Saccharomyces cerevisiae S288C: one gene and its partners. The gene in region 3 interacts genetically with the main gene of each other region. Each region holds a gene or a part of one and is shown on either strand. Other genes may lie near its edges. The genes, in order: UBP13, SPO1, YLL053C and YNR064C.

Evidence for each region.
Region 1: mutations in YLL053C (region 3) and UBP13 together harm fitness more than expected from each alone (negative genetic interaction), as found in Saccharomyces cerevisiae (one large-scale study listed by BioGRID).
Region 2: mutations in YLL053C (region 3) and SPO1 together harm fitness more than expected from each alone (negative genetic interaction), as found in Saccharomyces cerevisiae (one large-scale study listed by BioGRID).
Region 4: mutations in YLL053C (region 3) and YNR064C together harm fitness more than expected from each alone (negative genetic interaction), as found in Saccharomyces cerevisiae (one large-scale study listed by BioGRID).

What each region holds. Positions count from the first base shown.
Region 1 is NC_001134.8:90,873-99,121, forward strand, and holds UBP13 (ubiquitin-specific protease UBP13), read right to left. Parts: upstream 5,011-8,249; coding exon 2,767-5,010; downstream 1-2,766. Other genes in the region: AST1 (Ast1p), read left to right, coding at 1-1,158; ribose phosphate diphosphokinase subunit PRS4, read left to right, coding at 1,542-2,522; SEF1 (Sef1p), read right to left, coding at 5,797-8,249.
Region 2 is NC_001146.8:605,804-613,966, reverse strand, and holds SPO1 (putative carboxylic ester hydrolase), read right to left. Parts: upstream 4,282-8,163; coding exon 4,177-4,281; intron 4,093-4,176; coding exon 2,302-4,092; downstream 1-2,301. Other genes in the region: PYP1 (putative phosphoric monoester hydrolase), read right to left, coding at 1-332; YNL011C (uncharacterized protein), read left to right, coding at 797-2,131; HEF3 (translation elongation factor EF-3), read right to left, coding at 4,514-7,648. UniProt on the Saccharomyces cerevisiae protein: Regulates spindle pole duplication in meiosis I, but not in mitosis. Required for meiosis I, meiosis II chromosome segregation and spore formation. Binds phosphatidylinositol (4)P mono- and polyphosphates.
Region 3 is NC_001144.5:33,521-40,353, forward strand, and holds YLL053C (uncharacterized protein), read right to left. Parts: upstream 2,442-6,833; coding exon 1,983-2,441; downstream 1-1,982. Other genes in the region: YLL054C (uncharacterized protein), read right to left, coding at 1-1,684; AQY2 (Aqy2p), read right to left, coding at 2,392-2,841; FRE6 (putative ferric-chelate reductase), read right to left, coding at 3,813-5,951; COF1 (cofilin), read right to left, coding at 6,284-6,701.
Region 4 is NC_001146.8:746,379-753,726, forward strand, and holds YNR064C (epoxide hydrolase), read right to left. Parts: upstream 3,631-7,348; coding exon 2,758-3,630; downstream 1-2,757. Other genes in the region: PUL4 (Pul4p), read left to right, coding at 565-2,388; YNR065C (uncharacterized protein), read right to left, coding at 3,972-7,322; YNR066C (uncharacterized protein), read right to left, coding at 7,347-7,348.

The DNA of each region.
Region 1 (8,249 bases), on a different chromosome or scaffold from region 3:
GTAAAGTTCATTCCAATTAAATCGCTGATATTCCATACTAAAACAGGGCCCATGGATTTTTCTTATGAAAAGAAGATCAAGACGCCTATTCCTAAGAACAAAATTGTAGTTCGAGTAAGTAATGTGGGTTTGAACCCTGTAGATATGAAAATCAGGAACGGCTACACATCGTCGATTTACGGTGAGATCGGCTTGGGGAGAGAGTACAGTGGTGTTATCACTGAGGTAGGCGAGAACCTAAACTACGCCTGGCACGTGGGTGATGAAGTATACGGTATATACTACCACCCTCATTTGGCCGTGGGATGTTTGCAAAGTTCAATCTTAGTAGATCCAAAGGTGGACCCAATCCTTTTGAGACCAGAATCGGTTAGCGCCGAAGAAGCTGCAGGCTCCTTATTCTGCCTGGCCACCGGCTATAATATTCTGAATAAATTATCCAAGAACAAGTATTTGAAGCAAGATTCAAACGTTTTGATTAATGGTGGAACTTCGTCAGTGGGGATGTTTGTCATACAATTATTGAAGCGTCATTACAAGTTACAGAAAAAACTAGTGATTGTAACGTCTGCAAATGGGCCCCAAGTTTTACAGGAGAAATTTCCTGATCTGGCTGATGAAATGATTTTCATCGATTACTTAACGTGTAGGGGTAAATCTAGTAAACCACTAAGAAAAATGCTCGAAGAAAAGAAAATTTCTCAGTATGATCCGGTCGAGGATAAGGAAACTATACTTAACTATAATGAGGGGAAGTTCGATGTTGTACTCGATTTTGTCGGTGGTTACGATATTTTGAGTCATTCTAGTTCATTGATTCACGGCGGTGGTGCGTACGTAACCACTGTAGGTGATTACGTTGCCAATTATAAAGAAGACATTTTCGATTCATGGGATAACCCAAGTGCCAATGCAAGAAAAATGTTCGGGTCTATTATCTGGTCATATAACTACACACATTACTATTTTGATCCGAATGCAAAGACGGCTTCCGCCAATAATGATTGGATTGAGCAATGTGGCGACTTTTTGAAGAACGGTACTGTAAAATGTGTCGTCGACAAAGTTTATGACTGGAAAGACCATAAAGAAGCATTTTCTTATATGGCCACTCAACGTGCCCAAGGAAAGTTAATCATGAACGTCGAAAAATTCTAGATACCCACTTACATTTACAATATGTTTTATTTTTAAACTTAATGAACTTCATAATTTAATGCTTAATATTTTCCCCCTCCCACCTTCTCCTGGCGTTCTCTGTACGTACATAACCATTTATTTTAATATATAATCAAATATTGTAACAATTGAAGCAGATGAGTCTCGCTCCTTAGTTAAGCACGTGCCGATGATATCAATTGGATTTGTTAGCAAATCAGCCTTGCTGCTCGATTCTCTGCTTTTTTTTTACTTCTCGGTCATTGAAAAATCCTGACGAAAATATTTCAAGGTCCTATATGGTCATCGACCTTGAGCATGTGGTAGACTACATAATGCACATAGACTCTCAGCTTCAACTCCACAAGGCTTCTCCAGCAAAAATGAATTCAGAGTCTCGAGAAGATATGGCTATAAATAGTATCAAATTGCTAGCGGGAAACTCCCATCCTGATTTGGCTGAACAAATATCGAAAAAGTTAGGTATTCCACTTTCCAAAGTTGGTGTGTACCAGTATTCTAATAAAGAAACCTCTGTCACCATAGGTGAGAGCCTTCGCGACGAAGATGTGTATATTATCCAAACTGGAATAGGTGAACAAGAAATTAATGATTTCTTGATGGAATTATTAATTTTAATTCATGCTTGCAAAATTGCATCTGCAAGAAAGATCACTACTGTAATACCCAATTTTCCATATGCAAGACAAGACAAGAAAGATAAATCCCGGGCGCCCATTACCGCAAAGTTGGTTGCCAATTTATTGCAAACTGCTGGTGCTGATCATGTCATCACAATGGATCTCCATGCCTCCCAAATTCAAGGGTTTTTCCATATCCCGGTTGACAACCTATATGCAGAACCAAGTGTTTTAAATTATATTAGAACGAAAACAGATTTCGACAATGCTATTTTGGTGTCGCCTGATGCAGGTGGTGCTAAGAGAGTAGCTGCTTTGGCTGACAAGTTAGATTTAAATTTTGCTTTGATTCACAAAGAGAGGCAAAAAGCTAACGAGGTTTCAAAAATGGTGCTTGTTGGTGATGTTACCAATAAATCATGTTTATTAGTTGATGATATGGCGGATACTTGTGGTACGTTGGTAAAAGCTTGTGATACGTTGATGGAGCATGGTGCCAAAGAAGTTATAGCTATTGTTACACACGGTATTTTCTCCGGTTCAGCAAGAGAAAAGCTAAGAAATAGTAGATTGTCTAGAATTGTTTGCACAAATACCGTTCCGGTAGATTTGGATTTACCTATTGCTGACCAGATCGATATTAGTCCCACGTTCGCTGAAGCTATAAGAAGACTACACAATGGTGAATCCGTGTCATATTTGTTCACCCATGCTCCAGTATAGGACAATTTTTTATTCTTAGATTCCTGATTGCTTGCATGCCTAAATACTTCATAATTGTATTAGTTTAAAAGAAAACCTTTTACTGAGACAAAACTATAAATTTAAGAAAAAGGTTCCGGAGCCGGTTTAAAAAAAGAAGATTAAAGATATTATATTTATGTAAGAATTAAATTAATACTGTCAGAGAAAAAATAGTTTTAAAGGAGACGGTGAACCTTTACCTTCCTTGATATGCAAATATTTTTCAGCTTTTCCTAAAACTAAACATTCTCGACTTTTTTTTAGAAGACTTTATGGGTGTGTTAGAAACAAAGCTGTCGTCTATAGCAGTATCCAAATCGTCTGCTATAGGCAGCTCTTCCTTTTTCTTTTGACCACTATTGCAAGTTCTTAGCCAATCATCGTACTTGATTAGATTGTCTATATTATCATCTTGTTCTTTTGCCATATTTTCACGATCATTCTTTTCAACAGCGTTTGAATACATCGCTTTATAAAACAAAACATATGCTGTTGCCATATTTGGAGATTCACCTGTGAATTCTAACACTGTTTCCTCTTTAACTGCCTCTACCGTTTCGTCATCAAATAACAACCAGCCAAACTTTTCATGTTTACATAGGGAAACATAATGGCCGTGTTGTGGCCCACCGCCCATATGAACGACAATCCCAGCCAATTCATACTTTTGACAAACCTTAGAATTTATTGAAGAGCAAACATTTAGCGTCAGAGGATAGTGAATGTTATTAAAAAGCTTAATATTACAGTTTTGTTTCTCAGAATACTTGAATCTTTTCAAGTGTAATGTTAAAGTATCAGGCAATTGCTTCAAACCAACTAATCTCTCTGCCTCCTGTAAACCGCAACATTCGTCACAATAAAACTTGTTTGAGCCATTTAGCATTTCTCGCTGGTGATAACTTTTCAAAATTTCCTGTATATCTGTTTCCTCATCTCCCTGAACTTCTATGGGGAAATCCAAAAATGGCTCATCCCTAGATGTAATGTTATCGCACGTCAGACATTTTATTTGATTCGTTAAAGTGCCTTGAAACAAGTCACTGATGAAATTTTTACTCTTACTCGGTTCGCTATCGCTGTTGATATCACTGGCTGCTATTTTTTTATTCTCACGTTCTATATATTCACTCAACTCGTTTAATAAGAAATTGAAAAATTCGTGAGCATCCTGATGCATAGTAGTATTAAATAATACATTTTCTCTTTTGAGAACATCAACAAAAGAGCTAGGCGATACAACACCAGTTAAATACGTATTCTCAGTTATGCATTCAAAGATATCTCTCAAACTGGAATACAAAGTAGCCTTATCTGAGCCGTTTAAGCTATGGTCAATATTGAGCACTGGCCCACGAATAAGTGCGGATTTCTTTCTATGTTCTGGGGATATTTGAGAAGAGGAACTAGATCTTCTAGTATCTTTTTTATCAAGTGGAGTGGATAAGCTGCTATTACTTTCTCCTTTCAAGTCCAGGTTATTACTATTACTGCTACCTCTTGAAGGATTTTCATAATTGAGAACTCTGCCAACAATTATTTTACGCGGAACATCCGGAGGTCTATCTGTGACGTTCTCGAAACTCAATCTGCTCGGAGCACCAGGCTCATTAGGTGTTTCGACTATCAATGGAGGTGCGTCTTGAGGACGAGAAGAGGGTTTTCCAGTGGTTAATATAGCAGGACTTCCTTCCTTTTTATTATTGTCTTGTACATGTTTCGCGCTAAAACTTTTAAAAAATTTACTCTTCTTCTCTGAAGGCCCAGCTGTATTTGAATTTACAGAATTTACAGGGGTAGGCTTTCCATCATCAACAGATTGAGGTTTAGGGTTAGGCAAATGTCCATTGGTACCAGCAATGCTTTTCTCAAAACTTGCTTCGGTAAATATTCTTGGTTTCTTACCTCTCATTTCTTTCTTTCTTGGTTGATCAGATTCTCTTGATTTTTTTGGAAATTGCAATATATTTTCACGTAATGAGGACAGATTATAGAGACATTGAAGAACTGAGTTACAGTAACATGTATTGCCAAAATTTTCGTATCCAAAAACTTTGTTGGAGCCGTCTCCATAGGGCATTGAGTCGGACACCTTCATAGCTAATATGGGTGCCTCGGGCCCTTGCGTGATAATGCCTCCGTATGCGTTTATAGCCTTTGCGTTTGAAATATAAAATATCCCATCCTGGCTGTAATTACTGCCTTGATTGCACGTTTCAGAAGAATAGTCTAGTCCGGAAGAAATCTGCAAATTATTGTCTTCATTCAAAAAAGTTTCCTTGGTATCCAAATTAGAGACAAACAATGAGCTAGAGGGATTATCGGATGATTCGCTATAACAGAGTTCATCATTTATATCGTGGTTTACAGGCTTAAAGTCAACCTTTTCTACTTCTTCTGTAATGGTATCATTAACAGCCTTTTTCTTCTTCCCAGACTTACTTATAGTTAGCCATCTTCTGATCATGATTGCGCCCTTCTTGCGTGGGTTTAGTATGTTAATGAAAGTACTGGATCCTTACTAAAGCCGAATTTGGCCCCTTCAACAAATAAAGCTTGATGAGTTGAACAGTCAAAGGGTAAGATCTGGTATAGGCAATAATAATATTATCCAAATGGAAAAAAAAAAAATGAACAGGTGAAAAAAAATCAATTTGAAAACCAAAGAAAAACTCTATTGATTCCTTTGCTGTTGTCGACCTTCTTTCACACAATAGTTCAATTACGTTCTTTGGGTTCTTTATCTTTATAGTTATCTTGCCTCATCTCTATGTTCAACACTTTCGGATCGATGTATTTTTCAGCCTTCCGCTAAAATTGACGACCGTCTCCAAACGAATAGGGATAAAGAAGCAAGGACTGAGCGTTGGAGAAAAAAAAAAAGTTACCGGAATGGGAATAGATAGATACCTATAAGAAGCGTTATCGTTACTCATGAATTTTGGTAAATGCACACGGATAAATGCATGATATATAAAATATTAATAAGAATAAAATAAATAGGTAGTGAATAAATATTCTACTTTGGTGTGGTCATCATTTTACAAAGGAGGGAGGTCGTGATAACAAACTGATAAATAATCCTTAAGTTGATCCATTCTTGAATATTGTTACATTGGAAATAATCCGAAAAAGAATATGTATAAATAAAAGGACTCGAAGTCCTATGTAGCCGTCTTTGCAAATTTTCTTTAATAAATTAGCAGAAAACAAGGGTAATAATATTTCTTAGAATATTAGAAGAATATAGGCGTTAAAAACCTTGTTCCATGTTCATATCGAACCAACCAAAAAAGTCATCATTACTGGAGTTGCCTTCAATCCAGCCTGCACTTTGTTGCTGAAAAAAATCCGTTAGTTTGTTTCCAGGAGTCTTCACGTTGTTTTCATTATCGATGGTTTGGAAGTTAGAAGAAGTTACAGTGTTAGTGCCCGTAGAAAATCGTTGGTTCGTTTTGTTGCTATTGATATCATTACTTTTGGAAAACAAGCTCAGAGGTGGATATGCCGTGCTTTTAGAGGAGCCGGGGTCGGAAACGACGGAATGCAAATCTGTCATATTATTTGACTTCGAAGCAATCGGTGTACGTGAATGGGACATACTACTTTGTGATCTTCCAATCGCGTTGGCGTTGCTGAATTGATTATTATAATTCATGGTGACATTTTGTAAATTACTGTGCTCCCTTGGAATAGGGTGGTCTATTCCCAATGTAACATTATTAGATAAGTTGCCAACGGGGTGGTTCCTTAACCCTGGAACGGACGCAGGAAAATGATTAACGGGAGTGCTTACTGATCTTTTCATGGAGAGATCAGGAATTACACTAGGTCCGTTACTATAATAGTCTACCTTAGTACTTTGTGGATTGTTATTCGAAGCGGGGACAGAAGCCACTGGATAAATTGAATTAGAGGGAATTGATATGTCATTAGACGCATCCAATAACGTCCTATTATTATTATAATCGTTACTATTCGAGGTATTAGCGAATAAACTTTGAAATTTTACGCTGCCTGTTTCCCCGAGCATGGAAAGAGGTATCCCGTTAATCTCCATTATAGAACCGTCAGAATCTCCGTTATTTGTCTTGGCTAGCTTTTCTGCCTGCTTTAAGGCATTCTTAGTAGGAACTAAAGTGGTAACAGTGGTTCCACTTGGTGTTGTTTTTGTTACAGTTTCAAAGTCATCTCTGGAGATATGGTTATATAGTGGCAATGGATATAGTTTTCTGTCCGTTATGCCACCCGTAGACGAAGTGCCATTGTAGATACCATTTGAGGAAAATTTTCTTTTCTTAGCGGCTTTCTCTAAGGCTTGCTTGTTATATTCGGGATCCATTTCCCTTCTTCTCGCCTCGTGAACACACCAAACCAAATCATAGAATAGAGACCCTGTTAAATGTGATCTCATCCTAGAAATAATACCGTCTTCTTCCACAAAAACTTCTGGATGCATGATCAGTACGAAGTTCAGTTTTTCTAACATACTTGCAGTTCTCGAAATATCATTCTCAACACTAGTGGCCCACGCAGTTAACTGATTTCTATAAAGTCTATGGATAGTGACCACGGATTGCCTTGCTGAATCAAAATATTTGTCAGGAAGTAAAGGAGTCAACTGCAATTTAAAGAGAATCAGTGCAGAAAATGTAGCAGCTTGTCTAATATAAATAGGCAGTTCAATTAATTGGTGTGTTTCTAAAAGATTATTCAATAGAGTGACAATTTTAGTAGCTGTTAGATAGGCCTCTGTGACATATGGAATTTGATCGGTAGGAGGTGTTTCGGGTAGGAATGCAAAACAACAGACAGTTAATTTAACATAAAGAAAATAAATGTTGACAGTATCGTCACTCTGGAAATTTAAAGTTTTTGCTAATAAATCTAACTCTTTTCCCAAGATGGACAGTGTCTCAGCACGATACTTTGGTTCCAATAAACCATCAGGACTGGAAGTGGAAGAACCAATGATATGAGACAATTTTGCTTGGAAATTCGCCAGGCTGAGCAATCTTCTAAAACTGCCCGGTAGTTTGTATTTACTTTCAACGTGCGGCTCGTCTTTCTTGTTCCTTTTATCATTGTTGTTATTGTCAATACTGTCATTGTTATCTTCTTCTGATTCTTCGTCACCACAGGATAAGGCTTTTTCTAATAAATAGTCTGTCTGTGAAGTTGGTGGCAAACCAAGGATACTCGCCCAACAAAGTTCGGCAAAAAATATTCCCAGCCAAGTCCTAGTTCTCCACTTTTCTGCATTTGGCATTGATGTTTGAGTTCTTGTGAATTCAGAAATGAATTCACCTCTGTGCAAACCTAATTGATAAGACAGTGACTTTGCTAATCCTACAAAACGGTAAGAACAATCATCTAGGACTTTTTGGTTAGGCAAAGGCCAAATGCACAATATTAACAAAGCTTGCGAAATATGTGTGGATCTAGGTGTTCTTATCCAGCAGGTCTCTATGGCAAGTTGCTTGATCAAAGAGCTTAGCTTGCAATACATCGTCGGTTCAGGATCAGACAGACATGCCGTCAACATCACGGTCCAGAAAAGCAACTGAGATTGGGAGTATAATTCGGTGGCGTTATTGGAATACATAATAGGAAAATACGGCAGATACCTAGTCACGAAAATATGGTGTAATCTATTCGCTTTTTCAATGGAAATACTAATATCGCCCAGTACAAACTCATCTACAT
Region 2 (8,163 bases), on a different chromosome or scaffold from region 3:
CTGGTCAATAAAACCTTGATAATTGGTTTCATTCCGCTGGAAACAACGATGACAGGGACATCATTTTCTTGAGCCCATTCGAATGTATCCTTGAAACCAGGATCCAATCGAATTTTCTTTTCTAAGATCTTGATACACTCAGGGAAAGGGGTGTGGATGGATTCCAGCATTTCCATGAAACCTTGCCTAAAAGACTTAGTATCATCTAACACGCCTTCGAAGACCTTTAATCTTTTTTCCTTACCGAAACCTAAAGTATCGGTCAGATAATCGTTAGAATCTTCCAAAGTAACGGTACCGTCGAAATCGGTAAAAATAACAGCTTTGACCATTTCCCTTGTATATATATAAATGCTATGTCACTCCAGCTTATGTTATGTGAGCAAGTTTCAAGAATGTGTGCGTTCTGTTGAGATAAACAATAGAGGACACTGTATTTTTTTAATTTAAGATGATGAAAAATTATGCGATAATTTTCGAAAATTTCGCTCATTTTAGAAAAAGAGATTTGAACAGGGTACCATAGTAGAACGATAAAAGAATATGTCGTACAATGTGTTGGGTTGTTGATATCCAATAAAGAGTTTTTTTCAGCGTGTAATGCTTAGATATTATGTGGAAAGTTACTACTGTTGTATTAACCTGTTTCGTATTTCCTAAAGAACGCTAATGTGTGATGTTTGGGTTTATTTCTTAAGCTATTTAGGCGGACTATGAAAGAGAGGAAACGGAATCTTTTGTTCCCTCGAGGTAATAAGGGGACAAAATAGCAGAGTGTGGTGAGATAGTTTACTAGATGAACGTCGTTGTGTGCTCCGGTGGGACTGCCACAAATTCATTGACTCCTTGCTTTTCTAATATTTCTATCTTAAAAGGACATGAGCTGACGTATATATTGCCAATATCAGATAATGGCGGGTCCACAAGTGAAATTCTACGAATAGTTGGTGGCCCAGCAATTGGTGATATCAGATCTAGAATAGTGAGACTACTTCAAGATGAACAGCTTGTCGAGTTGTTTGGCCATAGGCTACCTAATGATAAGTTATTAGCTAAGAAAGAATGGAATGAAATAGTGGAAGGTTCGCATCCCATATGGAAAAATATTTCGATAGAAGTTAAGGAAATGTGTCGTTCTTTTATTATCCATATGCAAGCAGAACTCTTGAAAAAAATCAAACACTCGAATCCATTTCAGTTTGAGAGTGCATCCATTGGAAATTTTTTCTTAACTGGTGCTAGATTGTTTTTAGGTTCTCTAGACGCATCTATTGAACTAATGATGAGGATAGGAAGGTGCAGTCCTCTAGTTCATGTTATTCCATGTATAAATACCAATCACACACATCATATCTCGGCTTTGTTGACGAATGGTGAGATGATAACTGGCCAATCACAAATATCGCATCCCTCGAAATCTGTTCCTAAAGATAATAGCATAGCACATTCAGCTAAATTTATTCATTTACTTGGCTCTTATGACGACCATTTGAAAATTCTCCTCGACGATGAGGAAGAAGAAGCGGAAGAGGAGTATGCCAATCCTATCTATATTCTTCCAGAACTGAAAAACTCCCAGTTGCATTTTGACAAGCTTGATGAATCACAGAATCTACCTGCTCCGGTACATAGGATATTGTATATAAACCCATATGGCGAAGAGATAAAACCAATGGGAAATCCAAGAGCTATTTCCAAGGTGAAAAAAGCTGACATGGTCGTTTATTCTATCGGTTCTTTAATGACAAGTTTACTCCCAATCCTTATTCTTGGTAATCTTGCTGAAGTAATTTTGGAATCTAATAATACGAAAAAAGTTTTGCTCATAAATAATAAATATGATAGAGAGGTTTTTGGTTTAGACGGTTTACACTACGTTCAAATGATCATAGATTCTATGAGTAGGGCAATAGCAGGCTATAGGCAATCTAAGGGTGTCCATTCAGAGAATGATGACTTTGAATGGCAAGATTTTATTACTGATATTGTTTACCTAAAAAATGGTGAAATTGAAATTGATGAAACGATATTCGAGAAGCATAGTATTAGATGCCACCAGATCGCGTCTTCGGATAAGATGGAAAGTGAAGAACTTGAAAAGGTTCTGAATCAAATTGGCCTTAAAAACTGATGCAACTATGTCGCTCATTAACGGTTATTATAGTGAAGACTACATAATAAAGACATAGATAATAAAAAAGAATCGCGTTTGAACCATGTTTTATTTAACCATATGGCATAGAAGAAAAGTAAAAAAGGTGAACAAAAACTCATTAAATTTCACAGAAAAAGTCTACTCTCTTATGAGTAACAGTAGTCTTTAAAGCATTGTAAGCAAAATGGCGAAAATTTCTTTTTTCTTGGGAGCCTGTCCATTGTTCTTTTGGTTAATATACAGCCTAAGCAATTTTTATAATAAAGGTCATAATCATTGCTAAACACTCCCCTTCCAGTGGGTAACATACTGCTAACTTCAGACTGATTGTAAGTTATTTTGAATGTCGACGTATTAGATGCGTTTCCATGATTCGCATTGGCATGATAAATTATAATTGGCAAAAATGAATCATGTCCAGTTCTTTTGGTAGCATTGCATCCTATAACAATGGGGTGAGTGAATGTTTTTACATTGTTCGGAAATTGGTAATGAACGTTCTCTTCATCTAATTTTTCGAATATCCTTTTTAACTTGGAGCCGTTTGGATAGTTGTCAATATCCGAACTAGAATCCAGAACAAAAATTACATCTAGTTCCCTTTCAGGAATCACCAATGTTCTGAGTGGAATATTCTCGCCGTCTTCTCCGCCGTCTACAAGGTATAAATGATTTTTGTTAGTTAGGACATTGTCTTTTTCAGGATAAAGATAAAAGGGATTGGGTTGATATACGGCATAGTCTGTCTCTAATCTCGAGGAGTCTTTCGAAATACTAAATATTTCCTCTTTACCTAGGCCAAAAATTCCCATAACCATATTCAAAGCTTTCATTGCTTCTCTGGAGGACTGAGAAGCCAAATTCCAGATGAAGATGAGCACATTGTTGAATATTGAAGAAGACGTCGCAGTAATAAAACCTAGATCATCAAAGTTATTAATACACTTCTCGGCCTTTCCAGAAACAATTTTTGAGCCCAAATAGGGCAACTTGACGAAAAGTCTGAGGATATTTTCCCAAGATCCAAATTCAAAGGGCGTAAATTCAAATATAACGTTTGAAAGAAGTCCATTTTTGCAATTTGCAACGAATATTGGGATCGGCACACTGCATTCCTTAAATTTTTTAGACGAGTTTACAAGCTTCGAAAACGAAAAGGAATGGTTGGGATCGTCATCGAAATTTTTTTTTAGTCTTTGAACGATTGCTTTACCCCAATAATCGGTGAACGATATTTGGAAACCCTCCATTTTTTTAGGCTTAATTTTCAAATGCAAACTTTTGTAAAAGTCTAGCACTTTTTTAAAGGTTTCAATCTTCGCATCAGTTCCAGTGAAAGTGTTGTTAGGAAAGAATATTTTTTTTAGTCTTGCTAATGGATTCAAGTTTCTCTTCGTTATCATATAGTCTTCTGGGATTTCTTCTATGGAATTCATGATCTCCTCTATTTGTTCATAAAAATTTGAAGAGCTTGTAATCAGAGAACCCCCCTGACGCTTCTTCATCTTCAAATCATTATCATTATACTCCTTTTTTGCATTGGTAACAATTTCTTCTTCGGAAATATCGAATTCCGGTATGCCTAATAAAAGATCCTCTTCAAGGTCCCACTCTTGTAGCAGGGATTTTACTTCAAAATTTTGAACTACCAAATCCATCAAGATCCAACTTCCGCCTGATAATCCAGCAATATAATCCGAATATTCAAAAAGGCCATAATCGTTCATTTGGGAAATAAATCCGGTACCTACTAACATGGATCTGTACCCGCCGCCAGATATAGCAATCCCAATTTTTGGAGGATCTTTCAACACGCGTTTATAAAACTTCGAACTAAACTTTGCCTCTGTCAAGGATTTTAAAAACTGAATCAGTTTATTCTTCGTTTTAATTTTTTTTTTCTTCAGATACAAGGTTTCTTCTGGACAGAGTTCATGCTAATAAACAAAGGAATACGAAGTTTTGGTATATTCGGTTAGTTTTGGCCCATATTTGTTAAAGTGGCAAAGAGTTTAACTTACTTTGGCCTCCCTAATAAGTGGAGAGCTAGGACATTGTACCTGAAATGGTGCTGTTGCTAGTACTACTGTCAATAACACAGAAAAGACAAAGAGGAGTTTTTGCATTATTTTGGGATATTTATGTCTTTACTTAGGTTTTTTACTTGTATACTTTCTCTGAGTGCATTTACTTAAATATGGTTGTATAGCCGCTGAAGTATGTTTTTTTTTACCTTTCTTTGTGAAAATCAGTAATAGAAAATAAACATAAAAAAAATAAAAATATAAAAAAAGAATAAGGATGTTAACTTCAAAAATATATAAGTTACTCACTGAAAGAGATGTACTCGACTTCAAATTAAAAATCTTCATCAGAAGAAACGTATTCATCACCCATCTCTTTTTTCTTCTTCATTCTCTCCTTCTTTTTCTTTCTCAATTCTGCAGAAGAGAGTTTGCTTTTTTTCTTCCCACTATTAATCTTGTTACCCATAGCATCAAATTTATCACCCTCTTCTTCTTTTTTCTCAATTCTTGGGCCAGCACCTTGTCCTGCAACCCAATTATGGCCAGAGGGTGTCATTTTCCCATCCTTAACCGCCCAAACTTCGTCAGTCAGATTCTTAGTAAATTCTGCCGAATGCGTAATAATAATGACACCACCTTCAAAAGCTTTTAATGCTTTTGAAAGAGCACCCAATGAATCTCTGTCCAAGTAATTCGTAGGTTCATCTAAAACAATCAAATGGGGTCTTTGCCACGTGCAGGCAGCGAGTACCAATTTAACCTTTTGCCCACCCGATAAACCTCTAATTCTTGAATGTGAGACTAATTCTGAATCCAACCCCAACATGGCGCAATGTAATTCAATCTCTTTTCTTGTTAAAGCCCTGAATTGACCAGAAGCCAAAGCTTCCTTCATATCAATTTCAGCAACCATTTTAGAATGGGATTCAATCAATTCGCCCCTTGGTAGCCAAGCATTGTCGACAGACATCATTGGAACCCATCTTTCAGATTTCATACCAATGTTCTCACCTAACAAAAACGAACATTCGTACTCATACGTGTTTTTAAATTTCCTTCTTGAATGGATTCCTGCAACCCTTCTTGGGGTCCCTTCAATTTTAAATATTTTATTCATGGCCTCTGCGTCATTTTCATTTATTTGCCTATTTGCTCTATCCATTGTTTCCCTATCCTCACCAGTTTGGAACCTCCATTGAATGTATTCGGATGGAGTTTTGTCTAAGTGCGATTCAATGTGTGCAAAAGCGTGCTGCTTAATATACGCTATACGACAATTCTCGTGTGTATATACTTCACCGCTGGTTGGTAACAGTTCACCAGTAAGAACATTAATTAAAGTGGACTTACCAGCCCCATTAGGTCCGATAACTGCAATCCTTGAGGATAGAGAACACTGGAAAGTAACATCTGAGACTTGTGGTTTAGTTGTCCCTGGATATTGAAAAGTCATATTACTTACTTTAACAATTGCCTTTTGCTTCGTTTTGACACCTTCTAGATAACCAGGAGTTGGGAATTGAAATTCAAGGTCAGAGGCACCTAATTCATAGTATGATTGTGCCGTAGGACATTTTTGAACAAATTCTGATAAATTACCCTTGTACTTTCTTAATTTAAGACCCTCATAATGTATGATGTATTGACAAACCTTATCCAGAAAACCAGAATCATGAGAGACAATCACCGATGTAATTCCGCAAGTATTCAAATAATTTACCAGCCACTCCACATTAACAGTGTCTAGATGATTTGTTGGTTCATCCAATAGTAGAATGTCAGCGTCCTTCAGAACAGCCCTCGCCAAAGCTAATTTCATTTTCCAACCTCCAGATAGGGATGCAATTGGCATTTCTATCATTTCATCGCTGAACCCAAACTCCTTTAATTTCGAGGTAATAACATCCTTAGTTCCTACATTGCCGGAATATACAAAATCTAAAACGGACATGTCCGAATGTGTATTATCGATATCGTGTTCCACATAAACAGTGCGACATTCATCCTGAGTGGGGAACCCGTCAACTTGGCCATTAGCAATGGATCGCATTAGAGTGGATTTTCCGGCACCATTAGGACCACATAGACCATATCTCCTACCTCGCTTCAACCTCAATTGAGTCTTGTTTAGTAATATTTTGGCACCATATGCCAAGGAAAATTCACAATTACACAAATCTTCACCCTCATCCTCTTCGTCTTGGAAATTCGGTCCAACTGGAATATTATCTACTGCCCTTTTCCTGAAATCGTCTAGTATTTCCTTTGCAGTTTTCTCATGTAAAAATATAGTCATATAAGGTGTAACATGTGTAAACCACGTTTGCTGATCAATGATCCTTTCATCAATTAGATTTGCGGCAATCGCGGCTATGTACTCAACCACAATGGTGAACCTTGGGGCCACTTTTTCAGGTTCCAGTAATTCCTTGATGACGCCCAGTGTTGTGGAAACATCACCAGCATGCGATATTTCTGGTAACACATCATCTTCCCCGACATTACCCACACGTCTCAGGGTTTTTAAAGCTTTTAATGTAACTTCACGCGCTTCAGGATCAGCAATAGTAGCAAAATTGTTCTTTAGCCCTGGTAGTAGTTTACCTAAGAATGGAGCAACAACTTGCGGGTCTTCAACCAATTTACACATATTATCGATAATAACCGCAGCTTTACGTTTTATAGAGGTTTCTCTCTCGGCTAAACCTCTGCTCAATAAAGGAACCATAATAGACAAAGTCGCTGGAGTTACTTCGGCTACAAAAGTAGTTGCACCCAAGAGATGAACGGTTTCAGGCACCTCATTTGGATTTGCAATACATTCGATTAATTTTGGAATAAATCTCTCAATATCCTTATTATCAACAGTTTCAGTTGCCTTTGTGATGGTTGTCGTTGCCGCCTCCTTAACTCCTTTCTTAGTGTCCCACATGGATTCCGAAAGAACGGGAATTAGTTCCGGCATTCTTAAGGCAATCTGTTCTTTAGCGGCATCTACCAATACAGAGATTACTTCGAGAACAGCAACCTTCTCTTTCCACTTGTTGCTAGTTTCCAGCGAATGAATCAAATGAGGTAAGAGTGCTTTAACGGCAACCGGGTTAACAGCACTAGCGATGGCTTTGAGGGCCTTTGTTGCCGCAAGTTGAACATCATTATCTTTACTACCAGCTTTACTGCATACAGAAGGGACCGTCGCAACTATGTACGGTTCAACAGAAGGTGATAGATTAGTTTCATTTGCTATGTAAGCCACCGCACCCAGCGTGTTGAGCGCCTTTTGTTTACTCTGGATAGCTTTTTGAAATTCATCAAAAAAAACTTCGGGAACGTCATGCTCGATGATGTTCCCGTTTAAAAATGAGGAAAGCTCCGAAGAAATACCCTCTCTTGTTTCTGAAGTAGCAGTTTCCAACTTTCGGAAAAGCTCTTCTAGAACGGTGATTGATTGTTGTGAATCTGACATTTTGTGATTCCTTTTTTTTATTTATTTTTGGTTTAAAAGGCTCTTTTTTTGCACCACACTATCTACCCTTCTCTATTAGATTGAAAAGAAGAAGGAATTTCTGGCGCAAAAGTAACTGGAGAGGAGGACAAAAGATATATATATATATATATTTAAATGGATATATATATATGCACATATATATTATCCAGAAAAGTAAAGCAAAATGTGAATGGAAAAGAGAAAGAAGAAAGAAACAAGTGGAGAAAAAACTCAAATTGTTAGAAGAATATACCCATTAATAGCGGAAATCAAGGCTATTCTTTTGTGCAAGCGCATCGCTCCCCTAAAAGACATCCAGCCGCGCAATGCACGGGCCGCGACCTTGAAAATTTAAAAGACCACTTCCTCAACACAGTTTAGCTCTGTTAATGACAAGGCAAGGAAAGCAAGATGACCAGAAAAAGAAAGTCCCGAGACACATCTTAGATGCCAAAGAAATGGCGCCACAGCAGTTATAAAAGAGCGTTAAAATT
Region 3 (6,833 bases):
TAATCACATTAGCTATGAATGTTTCATTTTCCTCAAAAGTGCTAAAGTCAAAAGATTCTTCATTTGCTAAGGAAGAGGGAACATTGATATGTAAGCTCTTCATCCTTGGTTCTCCAAGAGAACTTAAAATGAGAGGGAATTTCTGATTTAAAAAATCTTTTGTCTTGTCGATGTTATCCAATACTTCCTTCAAGTAGGAAGGGCCATTTATTGGAAAACAAGAAGTCAGTAATACCTGTAAAGATAAATGTAAATGATAGATATTCTCTGCTGTAGCCATCAACGATAAGTCTAGATTATTAGTAGAAGCGTAATTTCTCTCAAATAGTTCTGGTAGAGATTCGTCAGTTTTCATAAAGGATCTTAAATATTCCAAACTTAGAATGTCAGAATCTCCTTCTGGAATCAATATTCCAAACTTCAAAAATTGCACGCCAAGCCATAATTTCCTTCTTAAATTGAATAATCTTGGATAATCGTCCGATTCGCTGACGTATCGAGTGTATTGGAAGGGTTCTTCATTCAGTCCTAGCTTTATTGCTACATTCTCCAAAAATTTTAGGTTTAGTATGTCACTGTGAGTAGGATACATGTCAGCTTGATCTGGATTCAAATACCGCAATATGAAAAAATAGAGCAGACAACAAAGTGTATGTTCATTAACATATTGAAAAACGTTCATGAGAGCAAGAAGTTTATGAGCGAGTAGCGTTAAATTATTCGATTTTACACCAAAAGATTCTTTAAATGAATGACTAGTACTTAGACTCAAACGTCTGTAAGAAAAAGCCAATATGATAGTTAGCAGTGTTATTGTCTCCAGTTTTCTTCTAGAGTCTTTGCCCGCAAATACAATGTTATACCCATTAAATTCATTCAATTGCAACAGCTCCCTTATGTTATCTTCGAATAATGATATTTCCAGTAACGGATAGACCGGATATATTGTTTTGTAAAAGTCCACGATTAAGCCATCAACCTCATTCTTATTGAGGAAATATTTGGATAACTCTTCCAAAAGGATGTTTATGGAAATTTTATCATTATTTTCTTCAGGATGCGCTTGTTCATAATCATACGTGTTATACAGAAAATCTATTGGAGGATACAATTTGCTTGTTTTTGAGGTATTTTCAATAAATTTAAGTGCAGCTTTATCAATAAAAAACAAAGGTCCAATATCACCGATTGTTAAGTTAAGTTCTCTTTTTTTATTGTTGGCAGAAACGTTTTCACGATGGCGTTCGACATCAATCAGTATCCTCTCATGTATGCAGGTGGTCAAGGCCTTCGCATACAAATCATGTTGAAGAATGCTATGGAAGGCAAAAGGACTATCAACGATGGTTGTGTTATTCATTACAACAAGCTTGTCGTGTGCATTCGATAAATTCATGGCAAAATTTTTCATTTCCCAGTCTTTAGTACTTGGATTAAGTATGGAAGTAAAGGAACCACTTGCGGACATCGATGCAGGAGTAATGTTTCTAATGTCTCTATGTGGGGCATTTTCGATAGTGGGAGATTTGTTAATCCGTCCTGGTTCCACTTCGTAGCTACAAATCGAGGATGAGGCCTTGCATTTGGAGCAAGTAGGCCAAAGTTTATCACATTTGATTTTCCTTTGCTTACACCGCAAGCAAACAAACGATGGCTTAACCTTTTTCTGAGATGCAATGCTCATATCCAGTGCAGTACACTTATCTTGTCATAGATTTCTGATGGGTAAATAATTACTTCACATCATCTTTGTTTCCAAAGTTTGGCCTCAATGTTGCCTTTAGGAGGAAAAAATGTGAAGAATGCATACTTCTGCCGCTTACGTAAAAACAGAACTCTGACCAGAAGAGATAAAAACAAAAAAAAAATAAAGGACAGTAAATATGAAAAATAAGATATTATTATATTAAATTAAATTAAATTAAATTAAACTACGATGGGAGCGTTATGCCAAAAAAGATAAAATTCTGAGCAGACTACTCTCAGTCTTCCTTCTTTTGACCTGCCGCCTTTTCGGCATTAACGTATGTAGTGTAATCAAGGATTTGTAATAATTGCCACACTGACCAGGCTAAGAAGGCACCCAAAAGTGGGCTAATCCAGTAGATCCAGTGGTAATGAGGGAAATATCTGGCAGCAACGGCGGCACCCAGAGATCTTGCAGGGTTGACACCGGTACCAGTGTAACCGGTCAAAGCCATGTGAGCCATGAATAAAGAAATACCAATTGGAAGCGCAGCCATAAAGTTAGTTTCACGTTTTTCAACAGCAGTCATCAAAACTGTTAAACACAACACAGCAGTACCAAACATTTCCAAAAACAACCCCCTAGATCTGGAACAGCCTAAACCCAAAGCATTAGTAAAGAGAACCTTGCCTGGAGTCATAGCACTAGCGGCACCACCAGCAGCCATCCCAGCAATGATCTGAGGAAACCACATCACTACACATCTGGCTGGTGAGATGGCTCTGGCCAAACACAAAGAGAGAGAAACGGCTGGGTTCAAAGCCCCACCAGAAACACCAGATAGAAAACATCACAGAGAAACCGAAACCAAGGGCAATCATGATCAATTGACCTGGATGAGAGCCCTCAGGCTCGGTTGTCAAAGCCACATCATGGTTAGCGACATTACAAATGACGTAAGCACACCATAAAAACATGAAGGTACCGCAAAACTCACCCACAGCAGCGATAAAGTGGTTTCTTAAGGTATCTCTGTCAATATTAAAACGCGAATGCTTCGTTTCCGGCTGTTCAGGTGGAATATAAGCATTGTCAACACCGGTCGGGTCCAAGTGCGAAATGTTTTTTTCAAGGTCGTTAGATTCGTTAGACATAGTATAACTAAGGTAGGCTAGTGTCGCTTTTGAATATTTTCAGGAATTGTAATAGCCAGGAACAAGAAAAAAGACATGCGCACACTAATAAGCTACTAAAACCAACATATTTATACTATCAACCGAGAGAGGGGCAGATATGATTCACGATAAAAAGTTAATAAAAGGATAACAGCGGCGCTCTAATTCGTTAATGAAAGCCATAGTCCGGTATGGACAAAAACTATTTCCTTCTTTTTTTTTTTTAGGTTTTTTTTTAATTTGCACTTGCAATAATCTAATTCACTGTAGGAGTTTAAAGAAAAACATCTAGAAGGATTGGAGGAGGTAAGTCATTATTATGGCGGTGCTCTTTTAGCGGGAAAAAAAAAAATACACCTACGACGTTAAAACAGATCGTGCTGTCGTCTCAGCGGCAGTAAAAGTACTGTAGTAGTTACGGTGCACGCAGATGCAATGCTAATTAAATAATCATGCTCCCATTTTTAAGAAGCAGAAAAAGGCCGCAGTAATTTGAGCCGTGAAAAGATTTCGGAGGGTTGATTCTTAACATTTTCCAAAAAAATGTCCTTTGGTCTGTTTGCTTGGGTCTGAAAAGAAGGACTGCAGCGCCACCTCCACTGGTTAAGGACAAAATCCATACTTATTCCATCTTTCTCGGGACATATTTTCCTGAGACAAAAGACCGTAGAACTTCAAAGACTCGTTCCCAGAAAGGGATTTAGAGTTAATTTTTGCTCGGCATCAAGCCGGAAAAATTCAGGCGCCGCTTAGTAATTAATTGCAAGTAAAGAAGTACCGGATTTATTAGACATCGTCTTAGCAAGCAAATTCCTGAAAGCTAAAACGCAAATAATTAACTAAAAATAGTTGCTAAAGAGCACCTTTTATGCGGTACATAAAAGTTTTTAGTGCCGTAGATATATGTAGATATAGGTGGGCGTAGGATCAGAAGGAGCCGGAGAGAAGATTTACCAACACTGATATTCCTCGAAATACTCTATAATTCTCTCTGGGTAACCGAGGAGTTTTTGAGAAACGGTGTTTCTAACATCGTCCACCAGAACAGGAGGGCCGCAGCACACGACCGCTAATGAATCTCCAGGCGGCGTACTTTTTATTGCGTTTTCAATTACATTGCTAAAATTAGGTCTTGCATTGCCGATGTGGGCGAAGCTTGTCAGTTCGGTCATTATATCATCAAAATGTATTAATTGGTCTCGTGCGTTTGCTGCCTTTGTAACAGCTGTTTTCTGTGTAAGGTAAACCTGCACGTTGACGTGGGATCGGCTATTTTTTAGCTCTAGTATCTCGGATTTATAGCCGTTAAGAAAAGAAGGATTTTTGATCGCCATGATCAAATCTATACTCTTGGGTTTATCAGGGTTTCGTGACAGCTTAATGGCATGATCTAATGGACCAGGCAAGCCTGTTCCTCCACTTAGTAACAGCAAATGGTCGAATTTATCGAGGTGAAGATTACTGGGCCCATAAGGTCCCTCAATGGCCACTCGGAGTTGTAATTTACCATTTAAAGATTGCAAAATATGGTTATAAATGAATCTAGTGAGACCACTTTTAGGTTTGATCACTAAAACACACTTCTCACCTTCGTCGATAATGGTAAATGGATGGCATTGCCAAAATACCAATGGATGTAAAAAATAAATGAAACAATATTGACCCGGTTTCGAATGCCATCTCCGGTTATATTTGGGTATGATTACTTTAAACATTTCATCGTGCGGGTTGTTGCTGGTGTTCAAATTGATTAGTGTTGCTTTCGGAAATCTAAACTGCAAAATGTTCCATATTCTGAAAAGCTTTTCCAGCCCCCAAATGAGCAAGGATACCACTATCCATTCTTTCCAACCGTTGAAAATTTTGACGTGTTGCCAACAACAGTAAAAGAACAAAAGGGCTAGTATGATGTGGGTGTACAGGAAAAATTCGTAATGTCTTTTCCTTACTATTCCGAGCGATAGAACTAGTAGAACGCAAAGCACTGTTATGGATGCAATACCAAACTTCCAATAGAGCTGTTTGTTGCTTATTTTGAAGGCATGGTTGATAATTGCGAATAATGAATAAGAAAGCGAATGTATCGTTGCGTTTAAGACCATGATTCTACCGATCCATTTATGGAAACTAATAAAGGAATTGAACTTGACTCCTGTTAAAAATTCGAGAAAACTATTCCTTGCCGTAAAAATGATAATGAGAGGGAACTGAGTAAACGCCAGTATCCCAGATCTATCAGCCAACAGTCTTGTAAACTGCGACAGGTGACTGTTGAAAATGAGGTTATATGGGTCTATGATGTAACTTATGGACAAAAATATGATGTTCGCCAATGTGTATCCAAAAATGATCCATGCCTCCAAGGAATTCGGCATCAGTCCCGTAAAGACTTCCACGTTTAGAAACTTGAAGTGATTAGCGTGCTTATCTACTAAAAACGTAGGCAACACAAAATGGCCCCGAATATAATTGACGAACCGGCTTGCAAATAGCGCTCGATTCAGGCCGTTATAGTGACTCATATGGAAGAAGACGGCGATAATACCCACTATGACGAAGTAGTAAGTTAAATATGCACCATAAACACTGCTGATATCTAAATTATAGGCATGCGCATGAAAAGCTCGTATCCATCTAGATCTTGTCTCACGATCGACTCGAATGGATGTCGATAAACTTTCAATAGAACCATAGTCTTCCAAAGCGTGAGAAGAAGCATTATTTAAAGATGAGTAGTATTGCTCCAGTGAAATATTGCTAAACTTTTTATCGACAAACGAGCACGTTTTTCGTACGTTACCCAAGCTTTCTTCGAAACTTGTGTTGTCCATGGGAATAATCTGGTCTGTAAGCGAATTGAAGATACAAAGTGACCAAGTATCAAACGCTGGTGAATAAGAGCATATGGTAGAATAGAAACCCGGTACGACGGAGCTATCAAATGACCACTTCAGAGTATTTATATAGGATGCGCATGCCAGCACAGCGTTGGATTCCAAATGGTCTTTTTTTTCAGTGTGTGGTAATTTTATATTAAAAGCCTTTGTTAAAGATATCAGCCACGTTAAAAACAGAAGCGTTCTATGCATATTCAACGAGCTATGGTCGTCATGCTTCACTTTAGAAGATTATAGAAAAATCATTGCTGCCTGGTTCGATGACCTTGTATCTTTTCTTGATCTACATGGCCAGTATTTCCGTTCTGAATTTAGAATTACAAATATGGGTGCAAAAACAATGCCCACTAGCCGGGGTGTACGGGACCTTAAATCTAAGTATTGTGTTTTAGATAGAGTTGCGAAGAGAAAATTATAATTATAATAATTCTATACATGTATTCTGTATATATATGACGATTTTATATATAGATATACATTTTCATTTTTCTTGAAGATTGTTGTCATTTGTGAAATCATTTACCTTAATGAGAACCAGCGCCTCTGCTGACTCTTTCCAAAACAGAATCGTAAGAAACTTCGGAAAAATCAGTACCTTGAACATCGGTAGAGACACCGTTTAAGGCTCTTCTTAAGGCATCCTTGGAGGATGCATAGACCATCTTAGATCTGACTGGAGCAGTGTCTGGAGACCAAGTGAAGAAAACAATCTTGGATCTCTTACCTTCATTACCATTAATTTCGTATTCAAAATCGTAAATGGCGTAAAGACAGTCGTTTTCTGGCAATTTCTCTAAGAAGGCATCGTAAGATGGGTCAGTAGAGGTTTCCTTGACAACGATTTCGGTTTTAGCATCGTTCAATCCGAATAAAATAAATTTGTATTTTTTACCCAATTTCAAGTCATTGAAAGCGGTAAGGGATTCATCAGCAACAGCAACACTACACAGAAACTTCACATTTTCCTGGCTTCTTATGAATTTTTTCCCCCACATTCCTTTTAAAGTTCCATGTTAAAAAGGGAGGAAAGAAAGGACATAAGAGAGCGAGATAAAACAGCATCATGTCAATTAG
Region 4 (7,348 bases), on a different chromosome or scaffold from region 3:
ATCCTGAGCCTTATATTTAGATGTAACTTAGTAAAGTGAGAGTATTATGAATAACTTTTGAAGCTAACAAAATATCAGAAATTAAACTTCATTCAAGAATGTATTTATCTAGAAACTGGTCTTTGGCAAATGGCTCCGATGGCACACATGCAATGTTCTTGGTAAAAACTAATTTATTATTAGGCCAGTACAGAATAAAAGTTGTCATAAGAAAACTTCATTACATTTTATCTCCTCTGGCAAGTATCCAAATTCGAAAACCTCAGAAACCAGCGTTCCACCTAAAGTTTGTTTGCCCGTATGTTAAAACAGTAGCTGCCAAGTCACTTGAGTTTGAAGAATAATCTGATGCTTTTTACATAGAGGTCTATTAGGCTCTTTACTTTGTAAGCATCTCGACTTAAAAAAAAAATCTATTGTTTTTACGGGCATCGCTGAAAAACTGTGTCTGTTCTCTTTGATGCTGTCATCTAAGATTCAATTAAAGTCGACCATCAAGTTCCCTTAATAATATCCCTTGTGAGAGCTTAATCTAAAACTACAAAAGCGTTCGCAACAAGCAGTATGGACAGATCTAAGGACGCTAGAAAGAGATCTATTAGTTTGGCCTGTACTGTGTGTAGGAAACGAAAGTTGAAGTGCGATGGGAACAAGCCATGTGGAAGATGTATAAGGCTAAATACACCAAAAGAATGCATTTATAATATTGATAAAAGGAAAGACAAGAGAAAAATCAAAAACGGGTCGAAGGTTTTTTTATTCAAGAATAATACTATCGATAACGGGAATAACTCTATACTAGAGAACAAAGGACTAAATGAAGACCTTTCTTCTCATATATATGAGAAAGAAGCGCCAAAATTCGATTCAGATATTGATATATCAAGATTTGGCACAAATGATGCTGTGATTTTTAATAATGACGGGTGGGACACTTCTCTTCCGATCGATTTTGATTTCGATGAGTTTAACACTGAGACAACAGATTTCGATGACTTTTTAAAACTATTAGGCGATAATTCACCTTCAAAGGAACAAAAAAGTCTTTCCTATTCACCTACTGCTACAGGCTTAAGCGGTGTGGTTAAAGAAACTGAGAGCGAAGATAACGCTCCTACGAGGTCTCGGCTAATCGATGTCTTGTTTGAGAACAAGCTTCACTCCGTACCAGGAATATCAAAATGGCATCTATATGAGCTGGAATCCCAATACCCAAATTTGGAATGTACAGAAGGAAATAGTGATGAAAAGTTTTTACTTTCAACTGTATTGTGCCTGGGGTCGTTGACCATACGAAAAAGGGAACTATTGAATCATTCGAACATAGACAATCGTCCACTTTTGCCGGAGAATAGTATTTCAAAACTGACCACTGATGCTTTTAAGTACTATAATGCTGCGAAAACGCTTGTTCCCGACTTGTTATCTCATCCCACAATCGATGGATTTTGCGGCCTCGTTCTAATGGCAAATTTCATGACGATGATGATATCCTTAGAGCACCAATTATATTTGAGTATAAATGCTTTACAACTTGCTGTGGCTTTAAACTTGAACAACAATACAAAATGCAAGGAATTACTTGAGTCGAACAGCGACGGAATTGGTGTGATCTTGCTTTTTTGGAACATTTGGTGTTCTTCTTGCATGTTGGCAACAATTCATGGAAAAAATCCTTTTATCACTTTGGAACAAATTACAACACCTCTGCCGTGTGAAATATCCCCCCGCAATAAAACTAATAAACTTTTGATAGATTTCATGCAAATCAGAATCAAGCTAGCCACTCTACAAAGTAAGATTTTTCAACGGCTATATACTTCCAGCACCGCAAACGAGGTACCATTCGTAAACTTAGAAAGAGAATTTGAGGAGGTTTCACTCCAGATTACCAGGTTAAAAGGCTTTCCGATATTCGAAGAACATCTTTTTTACAGGAGCAGAGTCTTAATGTTAGAGCTATCATGTTTAAGAGCTCAAGCTTCTTTTCTATTATATCGTCCGTATCTGATCACTGGAGAATCCTTACAAGCAGTAACCATGGCAAAATCAATAATTCACGAAATATGGAGTCAATACACTAAACAGTTTCCCGATAACGAAAAGGAAAGGCATGAACGTTTGGATTGGAATTTTTGTTATCCTTTAAGAACAGCGTCACTGACATTATGTATTTCATGTATTATACTCCTAAGGTATAAGCAGGTGGTGCAGTTCCTTAAAGGTACTGAACTATTTGAATACATTCTAGCATTGGAAATATTGCAAGATTTAGTTCAGGTACTTCCTATTGAACAAAACCTTATTGATATAATCAAATATCCGATCAGTCCAGTACAGCTGAGTGGTGATAGCTTTGTCGAATTTTGGGGTCGCATACTTTACTAAACCGTTTCCTAGCTGATTTTTTGACACTTTATTCAGAAATGACCTTTTGAGATACAAGTTTACTAGGGGAAAGATCCATATGACATGGTAGTAGGTTTACCCTTCAAAACAACATAGATCGTAAAAAAGGTGGCTGAAGAACTTACTAAAAATGTTATATGCTTAGATTAATATATTGTCACCGGGCTACCAGTACAAACCCTTGATAATGCGACCAGACATCTGTTTTGACTTATTTATGAGCAATAATGGGTAACAAAAGAACGCTCTGAGGCAACTCTATGTGAGTCGAAACATATGTGTTTTTGGCAATTAAACAAAATACGAGAGATTCTTCTCAGAAAACATTGTCACAAGAACTTAGTATCTTTAATTTTCTGCAAACATACTGATGATTTCTTCGGCAATAGCAACTACGTGAGTTTCAAGCGCAAAATGGCCAGTATCATAGTAAACAACCTTTAAATTATCAACGTCTTTCCGATAAGCTTCAGCCCCGGCAACGCTAAAAATAGTATCATTCGCACCCCATGCAACTAGCACAGGAATCTTTGAATCTCTCAAGAACTTTTGAAAGGCTGGGTACAACTTTATATTATTCTGATAATCGAAAAATAATCTCAATTGAATATCGGTCTGGCCGGTACGCTGAATTAGCGCAATATCAAGCGTATAAGCGGCGGGATCAACAGATTCGATAGCTGGTACTCCATCATGGTACTGGCATATGACATTAGCTGGATCTTCAAGGTACGGGATAAGGGATTTAACAAATACCGGATCACTTTGATATGACTTCCAATATTCCTTCAACGGACCCCAAAAGCGGTCATCGAGACCCTCTTCGTAAGCATTACCGTTTTGAGTAACAATGCCAGTAATTCTGGAGGGAAACTTCAAGGCTAACCGAAAACCTACCGGAGATCCATAATCAAATATATACATGGCAAATTTTTCAATACTCAAAGTATCTAACAAATATCCTATACTTTCACAAAGGGAATCAAAGCTGAACTTGTAGTTTTCTGGCGTTTCCGTAAATCCGAACCCAGGAAGATCCGGAGCAATGATGTGAAACTGTCCAGCTAGTAAGGGAATGAGGTTCCTGAACATGTTGGAAGATGTAGGGAACCCATGTAGCAATAAAATTGTGGGGTTACCTGCTGCACCGGCCTCACGGTACCAAACCTTTACACCGTCTTGAACTTGAATCTTGTGAAATCTTGCAATGATATTTGACATTTTTGTCCTTCGTCCAATTCTGACAGTGAAAGAAAAGTGGTCAAGTTCAGTTAATTTGATCGTGCTTATATATGTTCTTTTTGGCTCCTATCACTTTTGGCTCCTATCACTTTTGAAATTTCTGTCACGATTATGTGCGGCGCAGTCCCTAGGCAAGTTACAGACGAATGGCATGCAGCGCCGTCTGTGGAAAAGATGAATACTGAATTATCATACCTTTAAATGACTATGTTAATAACAAAGGTGAATGGAGATTTAGAAAATGCACAATATTGAGAAAATGCATATGCGTACTTTTTGTTAGCAAACATACGATTATTTAGTCTATTAAAAAAATCTATTTACTCGTCCTCGTTGCGCACAGCAGTTGAATCAGGCTTGTGAATAGCACTACGTGCTGGCAATGCGTCTGGAATATTGCTAGTGGCAGGCTGGTCTATCTGTGACGTGTGCTCTTGTTCGGGTCTGTAAGCATCTTCTTGTTCAATTTCAAAATTACTGTCTTGACTTGTGAAACTGGATAAATCGTTAGCATCTTCATGCAAGCCATCTGATTCATCTGAAAACTGACCCTGAAGCAGCGAAGAGTAAGTAGGACCTTTTCTGTTGCCAAACCTTGCCCTTAATTTTGAAGAAAAGCGTGCTACACCTGCCTTCGTGCGTTGAAATGCAGACTTGGTAATTAAAGAAATGCATAATCCTAGTCTTACAATGATGTTGACAACTCTATCGGTCCTATTGTTTTCTATCAGCCCATCGTCTCCTAATCTTATTTCTTCAAATCTTGAAAATCCCCCATTTCTCCTGATACCTCTATCGTATACAAACCATGCGGCAAAGAAAATAACGAGAAGAATTGTAACAAAAACCAGCGCATAAGCGCCGGTGTTTATAGAATATTTTTCCCTGAATGCCTTTTCTTTTCCCGGACAAGGATGTGGTGCTAAATGTGCATCCAATTTCAGCCCACCTTTACAGGTTGATAAGGGAATTTTTCGATAGCCAGAGGAATCATAGTATTCAATTAAGTCGGGTTCCTTTTTGCAGATATCGGCACCATTCGCCGAACTTAAGCCTTTGACTAATTTACAAGTACCATCACTGGCTTTATAAAAATTATAGTCACATTCGAAATCTTGCCTCGTACATGAACAGTTTTTGACGTTCCTCGAAAATTCAGAAAGTGGAATATTCCCAATAAAACATTTTTCATCGGTTTTACGTAAAAACTCGGTTTGATGACCAAATAGACAACCAGTTCTGGAACCCAGAGGAGAGTACTTAAAATCTGCCCTTTTTTTACCCGTAATATCAAACTCACATTGCCTCTCGAAGATGTTTCTAAAATCAATTGTATACGTTCTGAATGAACCACTACCCATGTTTTTTGCTTCTCCAAATAGCAAAAACCTCAAAGCAGAATCTCTGGGAACGGTGATTATATCCTTTACGAGGACTTTGTCGCCACAGAATTTATAATCTTTCCATGTTTTACCAAAATCGGTGGAGTAAGAAATAGAATCAGTTTCTGCGTTTTCGGGGACCAAAACCAAGACTCCACCATGATCACCGTACTCCCATTGATGGGGGCCTTTTTTAACCTCAGTCCACGTCTCTCCTCCATCAGTGGTTAAAAAAGTGGAACACTCCTCATATGGTAGAAGCTTATCGCCAACATTTCCGACACCAAACATCATTCCTAACGCGGAACCGGAGGAATATGTATCCCTGATATCCTTACGTTCAGTGTAACCATGCAAATGTAGAGAACATTTATCTAATGATACAGAATCACAGGGAAACTTTTTCCCTTCCGAATCCTTCTTTGGAGGCTTCAAAAAGTTCCAATCTGAACCGTCATTAAAGGTGATTTTCGTCTTCAATTGTTCGTCTTCCTTGTTCTCTCCAACCTTTTCCCTATTCGAAACGATGTTGGTAATAATAATACCTTCAAGACCTTGAACTTTTTCAAAGTCGACATAACCGAATGTGTTTCTATTAACGGCATGCTCTAAAGTGACAAAAGAAGTACCATTCGAGTTGGATTTCAAAAGGTTTCCAAAATCGTGTCCTGATTCTAAGTTTGTTGCTAAATGTAAAAATATCGATCCTTTCTCAGATCCTAAAATAGTGAATGCCTCTTGCTTACTAACATCTTGACCATACGGGAATTTTGCCTCGGCAAACTCAGTACCATCAATAGTTACATATGCCCTCAACTCATTGTCTTCATGAGGTACGGCAACAATAATATAGCCACCAGTGGACAAGTAGCCGATAATGTTTTCAAAGATAATTTTATTATCACCTTGGAAAAAATCTATCGAAGAAACCAAGCTTCTTGTTTCTGAAGACTTCTTTTTTACTTGGCACATAACCATCTCCTCATTTGACGGATATTCAAAGAGTGTGCCTGCAAACTCACAATGAATTGCATTATCAAGCATTTCTGTAAAAGTTTCACCTCCATCTTTGGTGAGGTATGCTACTGCATGACATTCTGGACTTAAGATTGATTCACAATTCTTGCCACCATAGTAAATAAAAGTATCCTGTGCTTTAGCACTAAAATCTAGTGGCATACCTAATTGCCTGGCTTCAGGTAATTTAGCTATCATAAAAGAGTGTCCTCTATCGTGTGTTGAGAATATGTTACCTTTAGAGCCAAACAAATATGCTGAAGAATTGAAATATGGGTTAAACACAACTTCAACAATTTTTTCGCCGTTAGTGTCAAACCTTTTTATTGTTTGTCCACCATCGTGGGATATATAGGCGTCTCCTATCGAATTCAGCATGACCAAAGATTCGTCGGCAACTGTATCGAAGTATTGGTAAAATTTAATTTCGAAGTCAAATTTGTTTTCAGTGGTCACTATTTCCCTGTCACTCGAACCCTCCTCTGGAATTTCGTCACACGGAATATCAACGGGTTCAATTTTCATGGGTGTTTTACATTCATCACCTTTGATTAATTGTAATGGCTCTACTAACACAGATTTATCCTTCGATTTGTCACATATGTTGGAAAAGGCAATCAGATTATAATCTGGTATACACAGGCCGTTTGCGTCCCTAACAAATTCAAACGAACATTCGTAGTCGGATTCACCACAACTATTACAAGGCGTTTCATCTAAACTCAAATCTTTGAATGCTTTTTTTACCAAACACTGGGCGTCTTGTTTCCTCCTTCTATACTTGTATTTGGCGCCATTAACACATTTCCCATCCGCCAAATCCCAATCTTCAAAATCTTCCTCCTCACACGTTCTAGAGTCGAATGCTGCTGAAAAATCAATTATATACTCGACACCTTTTAAAGAAGTTATACTGTTGGTTTCGGAATCGGTAGTGGCAAACGTTCCTTTAAAAATAAATTTTGAGCCAGATCCATCTGGTGTTGGATTTATCAATTTGTAGGGATGGACAGAACTTATGGCATTGGTCAGCTCATATTCATTCCATGTTCTACCTTGGTCCAAAGAATAATAAAATTCAGATTGAAAATCGCCATCTTCCTCTGGATCATATGGGATATACACAATAATATTTCCCAGGTCACCAGTAGCATATAACCCAGAAGAATTATGAACAAATCTCCACGTTAAACCGCCATCTCTAGAGATGAAAGTTTTTTGGTCTTCCCAATCGAATTCACTACCGTCGCCAACGGAACCTGTCATTAACATAATTCCGGCAGTAGGATTTGAGATTT